2 linked regions of the Danio rerio genome follow. The protein of the gene in region 2 interacts with the protein of the main gene of each other region in a pairwise test. Links are inferred from orthologs where the notes say so. Each region holds a gene or a part of one and is shown on either strand. Other genes may lie near its edges. The genes, in order: spred2a and top3b.

Region 1 (4,497 bases), on a different chromosome or scaffold from region 2:
TTATTATTATTATTATTATTATTAGGCCTGATGTAAATCTGAATTTAAAAACTTAAAAAGCCCAAAAGGTTACCAGTGCAACAAGTGGCTGTCAAATTTCTATGATTTATTAAATCATTATTAAACATTACTATTAAACATTATTAGGCCTACATCACAAATAGGGCTGCACGATATTGCAATATTTTTATTTTCTGATTTATATTGCAATATTTTACCAAATAGCTCCAGTTCTAAATAATTCATGCATTTATATTGAATGGGAAGTGCATCTGCAGAAGATAATTACCAACATGGATAAATACAGTTAAGCAACGATATAAATAAAGGAGTCTAACAGTATTCAGGAACAGAAATAAAATAATGAAATGTACAACAAAGTTGTAGTCTTCATTATATACATAAAAACATATTTTGTTAATTCAACAGATTGTGTAAGCATTTTAAGTGAATTTAAACATGCACAACTGATGAATTTTCACGTTTTTATGGTCAAAATAAAATGACTCCACAATTTGTAGCCTATCACTGGGGTGACATCTTTTCAAAAGGTACAAATTTGTACCCAAAAGGTCTATATTAACACCTCAAGGGCACATTTTAGCACCTAAAAAGCACAAAAGTGTTCCTTTTAAACAAATTGTAGGTACTTTTGAGTTACCAATATAAAACAAGTTTTTTTAAAAAAAATTTCCGGAGTGTGTACATGGTCAACTAAAATCCTGTCTCCACATTACAGATCCACGTTGCAATATCGATGCTAAAACGATATATTGCACAGCCTAGTCACAATTATGTTGAAAGTGTAAAAAGTGTATTTAAGATGGTATCCAGTTGTATAAGAAAAAGAAAAAGATTTTGATGTGTTTGTAAACAAATTATATATTATTTTGTCCATTTATCAAGTAGTTTCTTTTAAAAGCAGGCCTATTTTATCATCAAAACATAAAGCACAAAAATGAGGTAAAGTTGGTTTTATATTCGCACACTCAGACTTTCTCCTTAATAATATACTTTCAGAAAAGTATTCTTTGCAAATTTTAAATAAGGAAATCATATTAGCAGCCAATGACTACCAAAGTACAACATTGTTCAATTAAATTGTGCTAATAGGCTATTGTCTTTAAGTCATACTTGCATGTGATTTCAGAGTGAATAGGCAAAGTAGCGTGGTAAATAATATAGGGAGCGTGTCACAAGATGTGACTGAACTAATGTGCGAATAAAAAAACAACTTTACCTCAATAGTTCAAATTATTTCATGTCCACATTTTAAATGGTGTTGCCACCGCAGGATAAATTACAGGCTACCTTGAGGCTGTTACCTATTTGACATTATTTAAGAAAAGTTTATGATTTAGTGGACTAATATGGAAAGAAGATTTGAGAACATGCAAAAGTTACATTAGTTGCAAAATAAAAATAAATATTACCATATATTTGTCCGGAAAAAGATTGACCAACTCTTATTACACTGCTATTACAGATTAATCCAATCTTTTAATCATCAATCATTTGATGATTTTATTCATAACAGATTGCGAAATTAGATCTAATAAGCGTCCCCTCGTTAATACAGGTTAAGTGTGTGTTACAGAAGTTAATTTTAAGCCCCCCCCCCCAAAGAGCTCACTAAGTTAACGAGCCGTTTAACTCGACCCTAATGCTATTAGCAAGACTTTGATCGGCTTGTCGAGTCAAACAACCATGAGCAAAAGATACGAGTGTGTATGTAATCCTGAAGAATGTGACAAAACCTTAAAATATACCTCAGAGTTTGGCGAATGTGTTACTGTTGTGACAACCGATACAGTGCGGGACGCGCATACAACTCGTCATAAAGTGTTTTCGCTTTTGTTTCTTGCTAATGTAAGAAGCTGACTGATTAAATTCAGCGTTTATGATTGCATATAGAGCTATATGTGCCGTGTAGGGCCTGTTTTAATATAGGCAAAGCTCTGAGGCGCTCTCTCTCTCTGCTGTGCGCGCCCCCGTCTGTATTTTTATGAATGAAGGACAGTATGCAAATGAGAGCGATTCACGAAAAAGAAATGGCGGATATAGCATGTCAGACCACCACAAAGAAAGGCACCAAGAACGGCACTTTTAAGAGCGCACACGAGCTCGTTGCTCTGGCATTGCGTGTATATAAACTTAACAGTCGCCTGTTTGCTTCCTCGAATCGATAGTTCGTCTTTAAAGTCGATAAGATAGAAGGTATTCAGTAAAGGATCCCTCCACAAAATGTTTCCGCTCGAGCCCCTCCTCCTTCCCCCCCTTCTCGGTTTGAGACCAGAGCCCTGCAGCAGGGGCCCAGCACTCAAATCTCTTTGACACTGCATTGTTTCTTAGTAATAACATCCCCGGTGTCTCGCATGCACGAATTCCCTGCTTTTGACTGACCCCTGCTTCAGCCTGGCGACACATTCTTGGACACACAAGGAGATTTCCATTTGTGTCCACATGCGTCGTTTTCGCCAAAAAAAAAAAGAAAAAAAGTGGATACTCACTCGTCTGGGTGCGATTCCTCAGTCATTTTCCCCCTCGTTTCACCTACAATAAAAATAATATCCCAGCGCGGGCGCGCGGCGTTCGGGCTTCATGTCGTCTCGATTTTCCACCTCGCCTTTTTTAAAGTCCAGTGCATCAACGAGTTTCCCCCAAATCCGCTTCAGCGATCCTTATTTTCGTTCTTCCTCCGCGCACCGCTCTTTATCCGTCGCGCTTTGCAATGCATCTGCCCGAAGAGCCCGAAATCCGTGCGTTATGCAACATCCCGACGGCTGTATCGATGTGTTTTCGGCTGAAGACTGCGCGCTGGTCTCGGAGAGGAGCCCCATCTCTCTTTACTCCATGTTGGATTGTGTAGTCAGCAGCAGGCGAGCGCCGCCGACACTGGAGGTGGGGGGGCGCGGGGAGGGGAGGGGGAGGGGGGTTGCGGAAGCAATTACGTCACATTGGAACGACTGCAGCCCGTTTTGGACTGAGGGATCTCCGGTGTGACCGGCTGTGCCAACGTCCTGCCACCTAGTGCCTTCGCTTACCTTTGTCCAGCAATGGTTTTTATTGTTTTTCCAAACGCAAAACTTGCCAAAAGCCTTCCTAAAGTTAACAAAGTTTAACGTGTATGTGTTCTCACTACTGGAAATCCAGTTTAAAGGGATACTTCTCACACATATCACAATTGACTTATTATTTACTCTCCTTCAAGTGTTTGCGAAGCTTTGTGAGTGTCTTCTGTTCAGTGCAAAGGAAGATACTTTGAAGAAAGCTGAAAACTGGTAGCCACTGGCTTCCAAAGGGACATGACAAATGTTCAACAGAAGAAAGAAACTCGTTTGGAACAATGAAGGGTGAGTTAATGATGACAGAATGATATATTTTTGGGTGAACTATCCCTTAAAGTATGGCAGCTGGTTTCTAGCTGCATGGTCTTAAAATGAAAATTCTTTCATCATTTACCCACCCTTGACTTGTTCCAAACGAGATTGAGTTTCATAATGGAAGATATTTTGAAGATGGTAACCTTTAATATTTTGAAGGTGGTAACCTTTGGCATCTATAGTATAGGGAAAACAAATACTATGGAGGTCCGCGGATATTGGTTTCCAACATTCTTCAAAATTTCTTCTTTTGTGTTCAACAGAATAAAAAAACTGTAACTTCTTTGTACCAGTCAACTGACTAAATGATGACAGAATTACCATTTTTAGAGGAACTGTAGACTTTATAGCAACAAACCATGATTTTCTTTCCTGGGAATAGAACGCTGACTTATGTTTTATATCTGGTATTCTTGAAATATTTGCATGAAATTGAGTGTTTATAGTTTGTTTTCTAACAAAACGTCACAATTTAATGTTCAATTAATGTTTTTCAAATGTTACTTGTTTTAAATATGAGAGCGTTCAAAAGTCATGATTGTTATGTTTTGTTGTTAACGCTTTTATATATATATATATATATATATATATATATATATATATATATATATATATATATATATATATATGTGTGAAGTTTTCAGATGCAAAAAGCTCTAAAAGTTGTTTGAAATTTCCTTAAAATGTGAGCATGTTTATCAGGCTCCTGTCGGTTCAGTAATTTCAAGTTTATGGACAAGAATACACATACCAAGCAAGCCATGCAGTGGTGACAGTAGCGAGGAAAAAAAACTTCATCAATACACTCTCACATTCACACACTCATTCACTATGGCCAATTTGACTCATTTAATTCACCTATAGCGCATGTCTTTGGATTGTGGGGGAAACCGGAGCACCTTGAGGAAACATGGGAAGAACATGCAAACTCCACAAAAAAATACCAACTCCCAGCCGGGCCTGGAATATATATATATATTGCATTTTTTAAAAGTAGATGATAGCCATAACTTAATATCAGCTAAATGTTCTCTTTTGGTTAGCTCGGTTGTTGTTGTTTTTTTACTGTGCAGGATAATCAGTTTGATTTAGTTTTTTGGCATTGGTGATTGCA
Region 2 (3,828 bases):
TGAAATGAGGAAGTCTGACAGTCGCACCCAGTTCACTCTCAGAAGCGGCTCTCATTGGAGTGATTGGCGGGTGGTCTCCAGCATCTGCTCCTTTCCTAGGCCTGTTTATTCCCTCAGAGAGCAGTGCTTTTACCTGCGAACAAAAACACACACAGAAACAATTTTCAGAAGATTAATCACGTCACAAAAATGACATTAAAGGATTAAACACTAAATAATAGATCAAACAGAATAGAATAAAAAAACTAAACAAAATATTATATAATATAATATAATAAACATGTAAACAATATTATAAAAGATATAATGTAATAAAAAATGTCATATAAAACAATAAATAAACTATACTTAAAAAACAAACAGATAATACAATAATATTATTTAAAAAAATACAATAACATTAACTCATTTTAGTTTATTTAAATTATAATACTAAATAGAGGGATAAAAACAAGAAAATGGCAAGGATGCATCTTTCTGTTCCCAAAATCATTTACAAATTGCAATTATAAAGTCCTCTTAATGTGTAAAACTCTTTTAGAGTGTACATCTGCATGCAACAGGAAAACATGAAAGACACCAACCAGCAGCAAACTGGCTGAAATTATCCAGAATTTATCAGCCAATCATGTATTTTCTTATTTTCATTTGTTATTTAATCTCCACTGATAGCACTAAGCAGCCAAAACCAATATCACCACCTATATATTGTGCAACACTAAAACCAATCCCTTATTTACACCATGAGTTTTTAACTGACACAAGACAATGGGTATAAAGAAAATAAAAAAATAATTAAAAGACAATATCGCTCACCGTTTCACCCCAGAAGGTGCTGTTGGCCTGCTGTTTGAGGGTGCCCTTCAGGTCGAAGTTTTCAGGATAATGTGTGGTCTCTGTGCGAGGGTAGCTGATGTAACCCTGTGTGTAGAGACGCTCAGCTATCTGCATGGTATGCTGGGGACCCATTCCTAAAAAATACACAGACCAAATTGTATATTCATTAGCAATGAAATGCCCTTTTAAAAACTGTACCACAATAAATATTGAGCAGCACGAGTAATAATAAAAACCACATTAGAGTTTCAGTAAGAACCAACAAAGGTTGTTCTCAAGCTTCAAGCAAGTATGATTGATCAGCTTAAATTAAATCGGTTCACCATATACAGTGGGGGAAAGAGTACTGAAAAGTCATACTCGAGTAAAAGTACCATTGCTCGCCCAAAAATGTAGTGCAAGTAGAATAAAAGTATCTGTTGTAAATATTACTCAAAGTAGGAGTAAAAAGTAGACCTTTCAGAAGTACTCAAGAGTAGTGAGTATTACGCTGTGAAAAGCTGATGCATTTACATGCAGTTTGTGCACCGATGTGTTAACGTAACATTCTGTAGTGTATTTAGTTATTGTTTAAGGCCATTTGGAGATTTCAGTCATCATATCATAAACATCCTTTATCTTTATCATCAGTGACATGCAGTCTAAACAGTCTCGGTGTTATTGCATGTAAAGATTTTAGACATCTTGGACACTTTTTATGATTCCACACAGTTTGCTGCACAGTTTGATGTTACTTTCTATGTGCCATTTGATTGGATAGGAATCACAGGACTGATATTTCTACACAGCCAATCCCCATAGACAAGAAAAAATAAAGTAGTGACTGCAGTTTGAAGGAAAAAACTGAAGTAAAAATACAGATACAGCACAAAAAAATTTACTCAAGGGAAAAGTAAAAATACACATTTTTAAAACCTCTCAGTAAATTACAGTTTAGGAGGAAAAACTACTGTTTTACAGTCATTTGAGTATTTGTGATTCATTAATTTACAACACTGACAATACACAGATATTGTGTTTCCTCTGAAAACTAGGATACAACCTTCAAATTCATATGGATTTTTTAATACCTTTATAAAGTCCCAAAATTAAAATAAGGTTGTTTTTAGATGTTAGTATCAGTATGTTTGTTTTAAAGTTATCTACAAGCTAGTGTGCTGCAAAGCAGTGATGAAATTCATATTTAGAAAATATAAAAATCCAAAGCTTGCAGTGTCATCTCCACTAAATGGATCAATTTGTTTGTCAGCTCATACTTCAGTTTCTCATCAAATCTTCTGACCAATCAAATGCTCTCCAGTATCTGACATGCATCGCCCCCCTTTCAAGAGGCTTCTTGTTTGATATTCATTTGATGTGCATGAGCTCAACCACTTACAGGTAGAGCTGTGATAATAACAAAATGCTATTGGCTGTTTTCAAAAAGGAGTTGTTATATGTCCTGCCCAGTCTTCATGTTTCAGTTGGGATTATGTCCAAAGCTGCACTGCATTGGTTACCGGTTGAAGCTCGGATCAAATCACTGATGCTTGCTTACAGGACAGCCACTGGCGCTGCACCCTCTTACCTCCACCTGCTCCTGAAAGTCTACATCTCCTCTAGGAGCCTCCTGTCAGGGAGCGCTGGGCACTGAGCACTGCCTTGTGATGTCATGGCAGAGAGGTTATAAGTCACTTTCCAAAACATTTTCATTCAATGTTCCCTGCTGGTGGAATGATCTTCCCATTCCCACTGCGGATACACTTGTAACCTTCAAACGACAATTAAAAACCTATCTCTTCCGAGAGCACCTTTACCCTGGTAAATTAAACCAAAACAATAGCAATACTCCTACTCTAGCACTGAATTCTCTAAGCACAAACAAGTGACTTTGAATAACTAGCACTTGTGTGTATTGCCGCCTCTTGTTGAATCGCTGAATACCTCCTCAATTGTAAGTCGCTTTGGGCAAAAGCATCTGCTAAATGACTAAATGTAAATGTAAAATGTGAATGAGTAAAAAAGGCACAGTTCAAAGCACTTCATGAGACCTTTAATGTTTCAATGGACTTGCAATGGAGGAATAGAAACGCAGAAATTATTACATTTTAAAAATATCATGATGAAATATCAAGGTGAGAAAACAAAGGCAGAATCTTTCATTTTTGTGGAAAATAACCCTTTAAGCTGTATTTATAAAGCATTTTTTCACCATTTCTTTTGGTTTTCTGATTTGTGAAATGACTTAAAAGGTCTCATGAAATTAAAATAAAGTTTTTTAGATGTTAGTATCAGTTTTATTAGTTTTTAGGATATCTATAAGCTAGTGCGCTCCAAAACAGTGACAAAATTCACATTTAGAAGATCTAAAACTGATAAAAACATGTAAAGCTTGCAGTTTGTCACTTTTTTCTAAATGGGTGAACGGTTTTATTCAGGTCACCTCATACTTTACACCTTGACCAATCACATGCTCTCTAGTATGAGACATGCCCCTGCCCCCTTCAAAAAGCTTCTCATTTGGTTTTCACTTGATGCATCTGAGCTCAACCACTCTCACTGGCGGAGCGAGGATAAAACAAAACACTATTGGCTGCTTTTAATAAAGGGGAGCAGCTTTGAGATTATGTCAAACATCAAATAAAAATCCACATTTTAAAGCACTTTACGGGACCTTTAAATATCAGAAGAAAAGCTGCTCACCCAAAGCAGAGCTGGCCACTCTTAACATCTCCACTGTGTTCAGTGCAAGAGGTCTCTGCTTGGCTTTCTCTTTCTTAGTCACCGAGTCAACCTGCATGGAAAGATTCATACAATTACAATTCTTGAACACATTTACAATACACTTATAACTAAAAATCAGCTTACTGAAATAACCTGCTCACCTAGTTTATATGCAAACCTATACCTCAACAATGCAAGTCATGTGTTTACAAGATATCAACAAATCAGTTTTTGTCCTGTAGTTACTTTAAAACTTTATGATTACTGTCACGTTAAATGAATCATTAA

What was found.
Region 1: the proteins of top3b (region 2) and spred2a interact in binary tests that used the Homo sapiens proteins (3 or more experiments, as listed by UniProt). The link is inferred for Danio rerio from reciprocal best matches to the Homo sapiens genes TOP3B and SPRED2.

Annotation. Positions count from the first base shown.
Region 1 is NC_133176.1:54,794,194-54,798,690, forward strand, and holds the start of spred2a (sprouty-related, EVH1 domain-containing protein 2), read right to left. Parts: upstream 2,868-4,497; 5' UTR 2,537-2,867; coding exon 2,511-2,536; intron 1-2,510. UniProt on the Homo sapiens protein: Negatively regulates Ras signaling pathways and downstream activation of MAP kinases. Recruits and translocates NF1 to the cell membrane, thereby enabling NF1-dependent hydrolysis of active GTP-bound Ras to inactive GDP-bound Ras.
Region 2 is NC_133180.1:13,917,635-13,921,462, forward strand, and holds part of top3b (DNA topoisomerase 3-beta-1), read right to left. Parts: intron 3,611-3,828; coding exon 3,520-3,610; intron 972-3,519; coding exon 817-971; intron 134-816; coding exon 28-133; intron 1-27. UniProt on the Homo sapiens protein: Releases the supercoiling and torsional tension of DNA introduced during the DNA replication and transcription by transiently cleaving and rejoining one strand of the DNA duplex.